Caenorhabditis elegans: one gene and its partner. The protein of the gene in region 1 interacts with the protein of each later gene in a pairwise test. Each region holds a gene or a part of one and is shown in the gene's direction. Other genes may lie near its edges.

The links.
Region 2: the proteins of gtbp-1 (region 1) and sir-2.4 interact in a two-hybrid assay, tested with the Caenorhabditis elegans proteins (one study listed by BioGRID).

The regions. Positions count from the first base shown.
Region 1 is NC_003282.8:10,123,998-10,130,668, reverse strand, and holds gtbp-1 (Ras GTPase-activating protein-binding protein gtbp-1), read left to right. Parts: upstream 1-1,712; 5' UTR 1,713-1,723; coding exon 1,724-1,826; intron 1,827-1,916; coding exon 1,917-2,041; intron 2,042-2,093; coding exon 2,094-2,156; intron 2,157-2,200; coding exon 2,201-2,729; intron 2,730-2,784; coding exon 2,785-3,027; intron 3,028-3,074; coding exon 3,075-3,433; 3' UTR 3,434-3,920; downstream 3,921-6,671. Other genes in the region: Putative sodium-dependent excitatory amino acid transporter glt-3, read right to left, coding at 1-99, 179-273; K08F4.3 (Translocon-associated protein subunit beta), read right to left, coding at 535-689, 736-970, 1,065-1,169, 1,222-1,275; ctf-18 (AAA+ ATPase domain-containing protein), read left to right, coding at 4,031-4,095, 4,150-4,316, 4,359-4,597, 4,644-4,846, 4,890-5,058, 5,104-5,561, 6,137-6,389, 6,437-6,671.
Region 2 is NC_003279.8:5,987,629-5,994,054, forward strand, and holds sir-2.4 (NAD-dependent protein deacetylase sir-2.4), read left to right. Parts: upstream 1-3,112; 5' UTR 3,113-3,116; coding exon 3,117-3,182; intron 3,183-3,529; coding exon 3,530-3,736; intron 3,737-3,792; coding exon 3,793-3,965; exon of another isoform or gene 3,966-4,078; intron 4,079-4,309; coding exon 4,310-4,607; intron 4,608-4,865; coding exon 4,866-5,000; 3' UTR 5,001-5,038; downstream 5,039-6,426. Other genes in the region: C06A5.3 (PWWP domain-containing protein), read left to right, coding at 1-578, 997-1,133, 1,194-1,304, 1,382-1,527, 1,576-1,854, 2,304-2,493, 2,540-2,714; unc-94 (Tropomodulin), read right to left, coding at 5,673-5,710, 6,419-6,426. UniProt on the Caenorhabditis elegans protein: NAD-dependent protein deacetylase.

The DNA.
Region 1 (6,671 bases):
GCAGATATCACAGAAGACATTATCAATGGCAAAATCATCATCTCAACGATTTGCATGAAAATTTCACCAGGAAATCCGATAAGACTGATTGTATCATTACTGGAATTCACAAATCGATTTAAAAAAATTAATTTAAAATTTACAATTTAGACCCGAAAGATTTTAAAGATCTTCTCACCTGGGATTGAAAGGTCGAATAACGAAGCCCAAGACAACACCGAGCACGACAGATTCGATGGTAAGCACAAGAAGAAGATCCTTCTTCATGCCCATCTTGTCTGTGTTGTTCTTGACAACTCGACTGCCGACTCGCTTCGTTCAACTAACGAGAAGAGAGGGATTATGCAAACTATTCTAGTGCCGTCTGAAATTTGCATTCGGCTGACGCAGTTGACATTGAAATGTGGAAAATAAAATTGTCGAAAAACTACAATATTTTATTCTTCAACCGGGTGCTAATAAATACAATTTAAAGCTGACTTATATGTGTACCCATAGATTGATAACCAGTAAAATTAAACAACGATTCGAAAGCTAATCCTGTTTTTTGTTTGAATAACGACGTTTGGAGATCCAGTAGAGAATTGCTGGGATTGCAGTCAATGGAAAAGCGATGGCTCCGAATCCGAGGAAGTGTGTGCAATTGACTCCTTCCACTTTTCTCATGGCAGTTTCGGCGAAGAAATGAGCTTAAGTTTAAAATTTTGAATTAGTTCCGTTGTTTTCAAAACATACTGTATCCTCTCTTATCATACGAGACTGTAGAGGTTCGCGCACGTTTGCCAGTCTCGGAATCAGTATAGTTCACGGTAACATCGTGATCTTCGATGGCTTGAGGAACACGAGGAATGACAACAATGTGATGGTAGATGGTGGAATTCGCAGGAATGACGGGAAAACTTGCTGTTGCAGATCCTTTCAAAATCTCGAATCGGTCAGTTGGGAAAGATTTGAGATCAGACAGCTCGACCTGAAATAATCGACAATTTCTAACCAAAATTCGCGTTATCCGAAAGAAAGAAACTAATTTTTAAAGAAAATCTTTGCGACTTTTTGAAACATACCTTGAGAGCTGGAGAAAGGCCAATGTTGATAATCTGATATTCAAATGCGTTTTCTCTTTGTGCAACCGGATACTTGGTCACGAAGGATTTGCCGATAAGAATTTTCTGTAATTATACGATTTTAGCCAGATTTATAAATTTTATTTGATAAAGTTACCGCAGAAGCATCAGCAGCTGCAAGAGCAGAGAGAATCAGGAAAACCAGTTGCATGCTAGGCGCTTCACTGACAATAATGATTTGATAAATCTGTAGGAAGTTCTCTCAATAAACGCCTTGTTGGCAAATTAAGCTGGAAATACGTGGAAAACCGAGAAGAAACAAAAGACTGTACTACAAACGGAGGATGCAGAGAAAAGTGTATTTGAACTGCCTCGCAAAATGGCAATCGTGCCGAGACCCATCACTAAATTCAAACGAGCGTGCCTGCGAATCAAACTGGCCCGTTGCCAAAAAACGCCTCTTTCGAATTTCGCGCGTTCGGATTTACGTTCGTTTTCAGTTTTCCGGTTCAATTTATCCGTTTTACAACTAGTTTCCTCCAAAATAGTTAAACTTGATATCATGAAGCAAGCAGCGGTTAAATTATTTTTTCGTCATCTTTTACATAAACCGTTTTTAAAATTATAAACAAAAATAAACATTTTCAGGTAATTATTAAATGCAGATAACCTCGGCCTTAACCCAGAATAAGATGGATCCGATCAATGGTAATTTGACTTCCACCGCTCCGGTCGAGCCACTCTCATTGACAGCCGCTGAACGTGAGTCATGTCGCACTTAATAAGTGCTTACACACCTTTTCTTTCAATTCTTTCAATCCCGAATATTGCATTAAATTGATTTTATTTCAGAAGTCGGTGGAGCGTTCTGCCATCAGTTCTATATCACCGTCTCTGAGAACCGTAAAGCGATTACCAAGTTCTATGGACATGAATCGAAGTTCTATTTGGATGATCAGGTGGTCACTGGATCGCAGGTTGGCAACAAATATAAATTGACAAAAATACATTTCGTTAATATATTTTTAGGAGATTGTTAAGTTGTACAATCATCTACCAGAAACCACCCACTTCAAGATTCAATCTATCAAGGTAAACACGACGTTCTTCGATTTTCCTACAAATATATTTTTAAGGGATACCCAACCCCACACAAACAGGGAGTGATTATCAATGTTATCGGAACCGTTAACCTCCGTCCATTCCTTCAATCATTTTTGCTTGGGCAACAAGGGCAGAAAAAATACTATGTCGAATCAGACGCTTTTCAGTACATTGATAAGTTTTTCGTCGCGAATACGGAAAAGGAGAAGACTACTTCGTCGACTGGTCATAACGGACACGCCAGTGGAGCAAATGGAAAGGATTCCAAATCTTCCAAAACCGAGCAACCTAAGGAACAATCAAAGCCGGCTCCTCCAAAGCAGCAAACGCCAAAGAAAGCTGAAGATCGTATAGTGAAGCAAGACACTCCGAAATCTGTGGAAAAGGAGGTAGCGAAAACACCGCAGAAACCACAGCTTGCCCAACAGCCCCCACAGCAGAGAGCCCCAGTTCCTGAGCCTGTTCAAGAACAGCCAAAGGTTCAGAAAACGTGGGCTAATCTTGTGGGTGGAGGTGGAAAGTCTCAGCCCCCACAACAACAAAGTTATGGACAAGGACAGCGTGAGTTGAAAAAACGAAAGATGATCGGGCTAGTCTCAGATTATTTATTTTTCAGAAATCCATCAGCAAACACAAATGCACCACATGCAGCCTTCCATGCATCAGCAACAACAAGGATCGCATGCTCCTCTTTATCAGCAACAGAGACAGTCGCACCCAGCTAATGAATTGCGCCAAGCTCAGGAAAGTTCAGATGCCAACCTAAATGAGCGTAAGATCTATTTGGGAGGAATCACTCGAGAGATTGTCCCCAGCAACACAGCTCAGGCTGAATCGGAAATCAAGCAGGTGTTCTACAGTAAGCAAATTAATAGTCCCAATAGTTCACTAAATTTTCATTTTAAGAATATGGAGAAATCGAGGAGGTTCGCATGCCGCGCAAGGTTCTTGACAGTCCGAACGACACATCGAAACATGCCTTTGCATTTATTACCATGCGTAACAAGGCCGGAGTAAAAGCCATTTTCGAAGCGGCTACAAAGGATGAGCAAGGCGTGTGGAAGCTTCCACTCAAACTGGATGCATTCGGATTTGACGGACATGCTCAAATTAGTGAGCAACGTGATCAACCACAAGGCGGCGGATTCCGAGGAGGACGTGGAGGTTTCCAACCACGCGGTGGACAATTCTTCCGCCGTGGCGGTTCGGGTGGTGCTCCACGAGGTGGTATGCGCAGCGGTTTCCAAAATGCGGGACAAAATTAGAAGCTTTCCGTTCTCCTTTTTCCTTCTTGTAAGAATTGCACATCCATTAGATTCTGTACCTATCCTTCTCATTTTCCTATTTATTGTTTCTCCTTTCCTTCCTCACCGTTCTAATAATGATGATTTAAGTAAGAAGATTCTGGTATCTGAATTTTATGGCGTGTAGCGTTTTAGTAGATCTCTCAACAATCCAATCCAATCAGCCCGCATCCCATTTTCACATCCTATCTCCCCGGTTTTCGGTGATTGACGACCGTGATCCCATCTGAGTTTACTCTTTTCGAGTACAAGTTGCAATCAGACATCATCCCACCACCGAATATCCAAGTTGTATTTGAATGTTGTTTTAATATATTACCACTTTCCTTCTCCTTTTACAAGCCCCCGTTATTGTTTCCTTCATTGGTGTTCGGGAGTACTCTTTGTACTCAAGTTCTTACCCCCATTTTGGCACGTTGGAATTAAAATAAAGTTTTGTATCTAAATTATTCAAGTTTCTCAATTTGTTTTTTTTATATGTAGTGTGTCAAGTAACAGTGTATTGTACTTATTGTTGTGAGATTGTGTTTCTAACATTTCTAATGGATACAGCAAGACATGGATGATGACTACAATGTACTGCATTCTGGGTTTGCCGACGATGATGGGCAACTTGAATATCCGTAAGATCTTTATGTTGAGAAGCAGAAGTAGTTTTACATTCGCTGAATTTTAAGAGATGATGAGGATCAGCTAGCTGTAGTTCCGAATGGAGACTCTGAAAATCAAAGAATCAATGAAGTTAGGAATGCTCTCGAAGAAGTTGGATATGGTAAAAGAAAAAGACGCTTGAATGAAGTAGAAGACGTATTTGATCAATATGGAAGACGTTCACATCCAATGGGTCAGTCAAAAAGAAGGTTTTCCAATTAAATTATATATTTAGATTGGCATATGAGAATGGAAACAGTTTCCAGTGAAGTATTACAAAAGTCACAAGTAAATGCTGTTAAGAGAAGAGCCCTCGAAAGCTTGGAACAGAAAATCAACGAAGCAGCTGCTCAAGCTGAAAGAAAAATGAATGAAAATCATCATTCTAATGCTTTTGACGATTTTCAAAGCGGAGAGCAGACAATTTCTTCACTTTGTGAGCTAGAAATGGAACGGAGATATAGAAGACGACAGGTTATTACTTTTCCTTGAAAGATTATATTTTTATCATTGAATTCAGGAAATCATGCGAAATCCGGTAACTGATGGTTCACCTTGGATTGGTATCAGTGATGTCGTCAACGGGCAACGATTTTATATTCGAACTTTCCGTGATGATCGTCTTTCTGTTCCGTTAGTAGAATCGATTACCCAACAAGCAACCCGTTCGAGGGTCGGTTTTCGAGCTTTTCAGTCGATTTGTCAGGAATCCGAACGTCTTAGGTAATAGTTTCACTAGAAAATTGAATACTTTTATAGTTTTCAGCAAGTTGAAAGAAGAATCTCGCGTTAAAGAACAGGAAGCCGAGTTTTCACGCATGCTTAAAGAAACTGAAACACCGTCTGAATATGAAAATAATAAATCTCATCCAGAATCATCATTATGGGTGAACAAGTACGAAGCCAAAAATTTCTCAGATTTGCTCTCGGACAGTGTAAGGAATTACATTATTTTAAAAAAAGAAGTCACGATATTGCAGACTGTCAATCGAAATATTCTTACATGGCTGAAAATGTGGGACGAGTGTGTGTTCCATCAAAAAGTCGACGATTTACTAGCAAGCCTCGGTGAAAAAGAACGAGAAGTACTACACATGGATAATGGCAAAATTCGGCGTCCATCATCGAAAATGTTGCTTCTTTCTGGCCCGGCTGGTCTCGGTAAAAGTACACTAGCACGAATTGTCGCTCGTCAAGCAGGCTATTCAACAATTGATGTAAATGCAAGTGATGCTCGAACAGTCGCAGATTTAAATAAAGTACTAGAAGGAGCTGTAAAAACATCTCGAACACTTGATGCAGATCAACGGCCAGCATGCCTGATTCTTGATGAAATTGATGGAACACCAATTGATACTATTCGTCATTTGGTTCGGTGTATTCAAGCAACAGGCAAAAAAGCCATTCGGCGACCCATTATTGGAATTTGCAATAATTTGTAAGTTATTTTATGGCTTCAGTGACACAGAAAGAAAATATATAATAGGATATCGGGAACAGTTGCAAAAACATTTTCAACCAAAAACCAATTTTCTCCAAAAAACCGAAAAAAAAAACACTTTTGATTTTTCCATCATACCTACATTTTTGAAAGATAATCTTTTGTTTTTTAGTCCAAAAATCCATTTTTGCAAGAAACACCAACTAAAAACGACAGTCCTAATCGGGAACAAAGATGTCAGCGAAAATTTTGACGATTTTTTTCACTGAAAATCTAAAAATCGAAAAACGACAATTTTTCGAAGAAAAAAAATCAGTGAACCATAAAATTATTTTTTTTTTTTGAAATCAAATTCTGTTTTTGTTGATAAAAACACAAGAAAACATGAATAAAAATAAAATAGAATAAAAATGATCAAACTTTCAAGATATTTTTCGAAAAATCGAAAGAAATCAAAAACTAAAATTCTTGGTTTCAGATTTTGGTAAAAATCGGAACACAAACCCCCTTTATCGGGATAACTCAATGTATTCGTAAGATGTGTTTGATTTTCTAATTATTTGTTTTTAAAGGTATACGCCAGCATTGCGTGATTTACGAGGAGTCGCCTGGTGTGTGCAACTAGTCGCAACAAAACAAGATGTTTTAGCAAAACGACTGGAAGAAATTTGTGACCGAGAACGTCTTCGATGTGATTTGAGTACTTTGAGAAAGTTATGCGAATTGTGTGCAAATGATATGAGACATTCAATTAATACTCTTCAATGGGTAGCGGTGGCAGCACGAAAATCGAATCGAGCAATTGGAATGAAGTTGATCCATGAGGTATGACGCTGTATATTTTTTGATATTAATAGAAATCTGTTTTTTAGGTTATTGAGAAAGAGAAAGGCGGATCTGCTTCTATTTTCGAACATTGGTCGTCAATTCTTGAGTTATCTAAACATACAGACGCAAAGGGAGGAATCAAATCTGTACGAGAAAGAATATTTGATATCGAACGAATATCGGCAGACCATGGAGGAGAAGAACGATTTGTGTCTGGTTTACATGCAAATTATCTTGTAACTCTTCCAATTGGAGTAATACGCAAAGCGTCTACATGGT
Region 2 (6,426 bases), on another chromosome or scaffold:
GTGGAAGCTCAAAAGTTTTTGATGATCTTTTTGGTCGATCCCGAAATCGTTCCGGAAGTGCTTCTGGTAGAAGATCTCGAATGATATCACTTTCTGGATTTTCTGGAGTTTCCGATATGTTTGATGAGCTTTTCAATAATCCAGGAGATATTGATAGTCACGCAGATCAGCTTATGCTTACTCTTAATAATATGCCTTCTGATGGTTCTATTGATAGACCATTGTCTCCTGAAATGCTGAATCCAATACTACAGGCGGCAGTTGAATTTTGTGATCGTTGTGGATATGAATGTCGATTAACCAATGGAAGTTGGAAATGTAATTCAAGTCATTGTGGAGCAATTAAAACTCAAGGAAGTGCATCCGTAGCTGCCGCTCGTGGAATTATTGATCAACCTATTCGTATGCCAAACCTGGAAATAAAAACGGAATGCCTTAGTGATACTAGTGCTGAAAAATCATCACTTCCTGCAAAAAGAGCACGGAAACCGAAACGGAACTCAGACGATGATGATTCCATTGACGAAGAAGCTGCAAGAAGAGCAAATTCTATTAATAAAAAAAAGAAAAGGGTTCAGGTAAGACACGTTTCACAAATTTGTAAGATGTAAGGCTTTTTCGCTACATAAAAAAGAGTATTGGCTGAATATAACTGTAAAACATTCATAAATTTCAGAATTTAAAAAATCAAATTTTTGAAACGCGATTTTTCAATTTCGGCTATCAGCAAATTCTCTGTTTGAATTTGCTCCACAATGAGTCATAGCCAAAATCGAAAAAGCGCGTTTTTAAGAGGTGGATTTTTTTTGTGGTTTTTGTGAATTTGAGACTATTTTTGGATTTTATTGCACCTTAGTCAAAACTTTTCTGAAAGATTGAAGAAATGATAAAACGTAGAAATATTTTATAAACTTTTCCAGTTGTTTTCGCTCATTACGATAACGCAACATTTGAAAAAAAAACCAATATGAGATACCAAAAACTATTTTATTTAAGGTTCTCTCTCCACGATCTCGATCACACAGTCCAATTCCACAGATAACTCCATCAACTTCTACAGGTCTTTTGGGTCGATCAAATTCTCCGTTGTCAAGCTCTCTTCGTATTCGTGATAGAGCTCGTCCTAAACATTAGTAAGTTCCCTATTACTTGCTATTAAAATATATGGCAGTGATGCGTCAACACTGATAAAGTGGTTACAGCAAAGTGGAAAAGACACCTCCAATCTCAGCAAGTGGACATAGACATTGTGTTAATTGTAATGGACAAGTGAGACCACAAATGTGTGGTGGAAATCGGCATAGGTAAGATTTCCTACAAAATATCAACAAAAAATGAATTTAATTTCTTTGATGCTCTTTTCTTATGTTTCTTATTTCAGATGGCGTTGTGTTGATAAAAAATGTCGAAAATGGTACGGATGGGTCCGCTCACATGAAGAAATACCAAAAAATACAGGACGAAAGAAAATGACAACATTCAAATCACCTATCACCAAGCCAATGAAACTGATGAAACCGAAAAAAGGTAATTTAAATTTTGAAAGTTGTGAATCGAAGTTGACAAAGTTTTCAGAAGAAGAAGATGATGGATATCCTTCATTGAAACGAAAAGTTGGACGTCCCTCTAAAAATGATATCAAAATTCGATTAAAAATGCAAAAAGAAGTTGAAGAAAAGCAAGCAGCTGTAAATGCTGCACGAGCTTCTCAAATGGCGCTTGATGCTGCTGCAACATCGTCTGTTCCACAACAAAGAAGAAAGTATACGAAAAGGAAGAAGGATGGTTTGGGTGCAGGAACTGGAGGAAAAAATAGAGATTATAGTCCATTTGAGGATGATGTTAAGAAAAGATGTACGTTTTTTGTCCTCTAAATGTTTAACGATAGTGATCAATCAGAAACTAGCGTGTTATCGAGAAAAAAAAATTTTCAAAAAATTAACCATAAAATTCAATTTTTTAAAGATCAAATTTTGGGTTGAAAGGCATAACAAAACACATAAGAAAATAAATAAATTTATTCTGAAAAAGAGAAATTACCCAAATTTCAAGAGATTTTTCGAAATATCGAAAAAAAAACAATTTTTTTGTTGATTTTTTCAATTTTTAGAACATCGAAAATTGTAGATTCTTTTCGAATAAAATTGTATGTGTTCTGTTTTTGCTGATAAAATTGAATTTTTTTGTAAATTTTCTGAAATTTGTTTTCAATTTATCGGTTGTCTTTAAAAACCTCAAAAAATCGGATTTTTTTCGACGGCGCCCATGATCTAAAAGATTTTTGAATACTTTCTTTTCTTCAGCGACATCTCCTCTCAATGATCGTTCCGCATCATATCGACCGTGTGCAATGGAGAAACGTGCAAGATGGTGGACTGGAGAGAAAAGGAGAGTCGATGCATCACCAGAACGAGAATTCGGAACAACTCCCGCTGATTCTGCAGCTGCATTTCGAATGATGGCTCATGCTGTACGGTCTGCTGCTGTTACAAGGTACCAACCTGAATTTGAAGTTTTATAAATCGTTAAATATTTCCAGAGCTGATGAAGTTGGTACTGTAAATGGTTCACTTGATCTTCTAATGGATTCTCTTCTTGGATCAATAGGACCACTTCTTGCAAATTTGACAAAACTTCCAGTATTTCAAGGAGATCAGGAACTAGCTCAACAGCTATGGAATGCATCGGCTGTTCATATTCCAACATTTCAATAAAAGCAGCTAAAAATGCTAAAAAAAGGTGCTAAATATTGAAAATCCTTCGACCATTTTCTCTCATTATAATGTCTCAGATTTGTATCATTGTTATAATCATTTAGATATCAACTAGTATTATTAATTTTCTCAATTGTCTTTTTTTTGTATTAGCCGACTGTCTACGTTCACTACCTCATTGTTCAATGGTTTTTCTCTCACTGTCAGTACAAAACTAATAAATTTTACTGTTCCCCTATAAAAAACTGTGTTTTTTTATAAAATACAATTATTATGTATGGATTCAAGGCTCGTGAGTTTATTTTCGAAAAAGGCAACTTGCTAGAGAAGAAAATTCATCGATTTTCAAATTAGCCAGTTTTATCAGAAATTGAAAGAAATGAAGAATTTGTTTTCAGAAAAATGACATCAGTTTATGAAAGTCTTTTATCAGACTATCCAGACAAAGGAGTAATTGGAAAACCTGAGGTATTAAAATTAATTCTGAATTTTAAAAAAATTGAAAAAAAAAAGAAATTCTCATCGATTTTGCACTTAAAACACACTTTTTTTTCAAATTAAAAATTGCTAAGAACAAAAAAAAAGAACTTTGGATTTATCTTAAAGCCGTAAAAAGTTTGAGCCCAAAACGCAAGTACAAAAATGTTCAAAAAAAGGTATAATAGAATTATCCCTTTTCGCCAAAAAAAAACTTTGAATAATCACATTTTATAAAATACAAAAAAAAAATGAAATCTGCAAAATACAAAACCGTTTCGAGTAAGAAAAGATTTTTTAAACACAATAGTATAATATTTCTTATTCAAAATTTTCAGATCCGAGACACTGAAACTGAAATAATTGAGAAACTCCGCACTTTGTACAACCATTTCGTCCAAGCTAAACAAACCGGAAAACCAATTTTTGTTCTTATCGGAGCCGGTGTGAGCACTGGATCGAAACTTCCAGATTTTCGAGGAAAACAAGGCGTTTGGACATTACAAGCTGAAGGAAAACATGCAGAAGGAGTGGACTTTCAAGTTGTACGTTGTTTAATAAAAAAAAAACATTTCTTAAATATAAATAAAAATTTTGACAGGCTCGTCCCGGAGTCTCACACAAATCAATATTGGCACTTCACAAGGCGGGTTACATCAAAACGATAATCACACAGAATGTTGATGGATTGGATCGAAAAGTCGGGATTCCAGTTGAAGATCTCATTGAAGTACATGGAAATTTATTTCTAGAAGTCTGTCAATCATGTTTTAGGTATATTTTAAAAATCAATCCACGGAAAACTCGACCATCTTCATAAAATGAGTTAGGTGCATTCTCTCAAAAATCGGTTCGGTGGAACTATTGAAAACCCATCCAAGTCTATTGTAAGTTTCAAGTTTCAAAAAGATCTAACGTGAAAAATAAAGAAAAAAGGTTCTTATTTTTCTAGCTCACTTCACAAAAACCGCCGTCTAAATTCTGACAATTTTAAAACAAACGGAATATATAGTATAAAACTTTAGCATCAAATATTAGAATCAATTAATTTACAAGAACATTTTTTGGAAAAGTCTTAAACTTTTCTCATCGAAAGTGTTAAATATATTGTTTTACAGTGAATATGTACGAGAGGAAATTGTAATGAGTGTTGGCCTGTGTCCAACTGGTCGTAATTGTGAAGGAAACAAACGAACCGGGCGATCGTGTCGTGGTAAACTTCGTGATGCAACTCTCGATTGGGATACAGAAATCAGTTTAAATCATTTGGACAGAATCCGAAAAGCATGGAAACAAACATCTCATCTTCTTTGTATTGGAACATCACTTGAAATTATTCCAATGGGATCTCTACCACTTGATGCAAAATCAAAAGGAATTAAAACAACTACAATTAATTATCAGGAAACTGCACATGTATGTTCATTCTTCCATTCGCAAAGTTTTCGTTGCGGCGATAGGGATTTTACTTTAAAATACGCAGATTTGTCCTAAATGTCCAAAAAATAATTTCAAAAAGTTTGAGAAAAACCACTGGTTTCGGCTCCCTATCTGAATCAATTTCTATCATGAAATTCAGGACCATTCTACGTATTTTAAAATTCCCGTCGGCGCTATTCCAATTTTAAATTCTCTTGAAGCTTCGTATATTTTAATGATTTTCCTTTTTTTCAGGAAAAAATCGTGGAAACTGCAATTCATGCTGACGTTAAACTTATTCTTTACTCATTATGCAATGCACTTGGAGTGAATGTTGATCTTGGAGATGATCTACCGGATGAAGTGCCTATTCCATTGAAAATTAGCTAAAACTGAATTATAATTGAATTATATAAATAATTAATTTTGGATTTCGTGTTTTTATTAAAAATTGATTGGGAGACAGCTGTAAGAGAGAAGACTAATCAAATCACAATTTTTGTTTGTTGTATAAAACATTTTTGGGAAAAGAACAAGAAAAATGGAAGAGTGGTGGATAAAAAGCGAATTTTTTCAAAAAATTCAGATTTTTGAGAATAAAATCTTTTGAATAAAAAGAAGAAAGGGTGCGGTGTGGGGAGGATCACAAGTGGGTTCTTCGAAGAAAAATTGCATCTGCTGAGGGGAAAACTTGATAAAATCGATAAAGCTAGAGTTCAATAATAAATCAAATGAAACAACTACGACACCCTGCTGTAAGTTTCTGGGTATTTTCCAGAATAAAAAATTATACAAAATTTGATGAAACGGGGGGATTTCTATATATTTATGAATTTCTTTGTAATAAATTCATTATTAACTATTGGAGGGACGGGGCTGTGTGTGGAGTAAAACCAAAATAAACCGATTGAGATGAATGAGAATATAGAACAAAAGAAAATAAGTTGATGGGACAAGGAAAAGAAAGAAAATATACACATAAGTTGGAGAGAGGGTGGGAGAGTTAAAAAAAAGAAATGCAGACGAGGTGATTTTATTCTAGATTTGGATACGTCACGACATTCAGACATTCGGATCTTTTCCCAATCGACGCAGACGTACTGTAAAATATTAATTTATTGATACTGTACGGTGAGTATTTTATCTTTCGTATTACTGCCAAAACATAACTGTCACTCAAGAAAAGCATTTTGCAAGCCCGCGGCGCGGTTTGATATATGTCGAATTACGGAAGATACTCCACACGGACAAGTGATTTTTTTTTCGGCATTTAAAAATTTTTTGACTACTTCTCTCTTTTTGAACTACTTTTTAAAACGTTTTTTATATTTAAAATTAAACAATTAAAGGTAAAGAATAAATTGACAGACCGGTAATACTTATTTTAAATTTTCAAAATCTTTTCTTTAAGTATTTTTATACATTTTAAATTAATCAATATTTCTTTAAAATCCCTCAATTTTAGTTCTCGTTCTTTTTTCTTTTCCGAGGTCAGGTGTCACACATTTTCAATTTTTCCCCAAGCGGCTTCCCCCTCTAGCGAAAAGTTTAAAGTCAGCCGAATATGAAGGAGGCGACTGATAAAAACAGCTGATTTTTCTATGATTTTGTCGAAAAAAAAATAGAACAGACGTACATTGAGTGGTGACGTAAAGGAAGAACACTTTGGAGAAAAGCACAAAGGTCAAAATTATTAAAATTTAGTTTTTTTCGGTTTCGGATCCACAGTCCAACTCATATTTGAGTTTTTTTTTTAAATGAAATACAGTCAAATTACGATCAGGATATATTTTTATAAAATAACAAACCTCTTTCA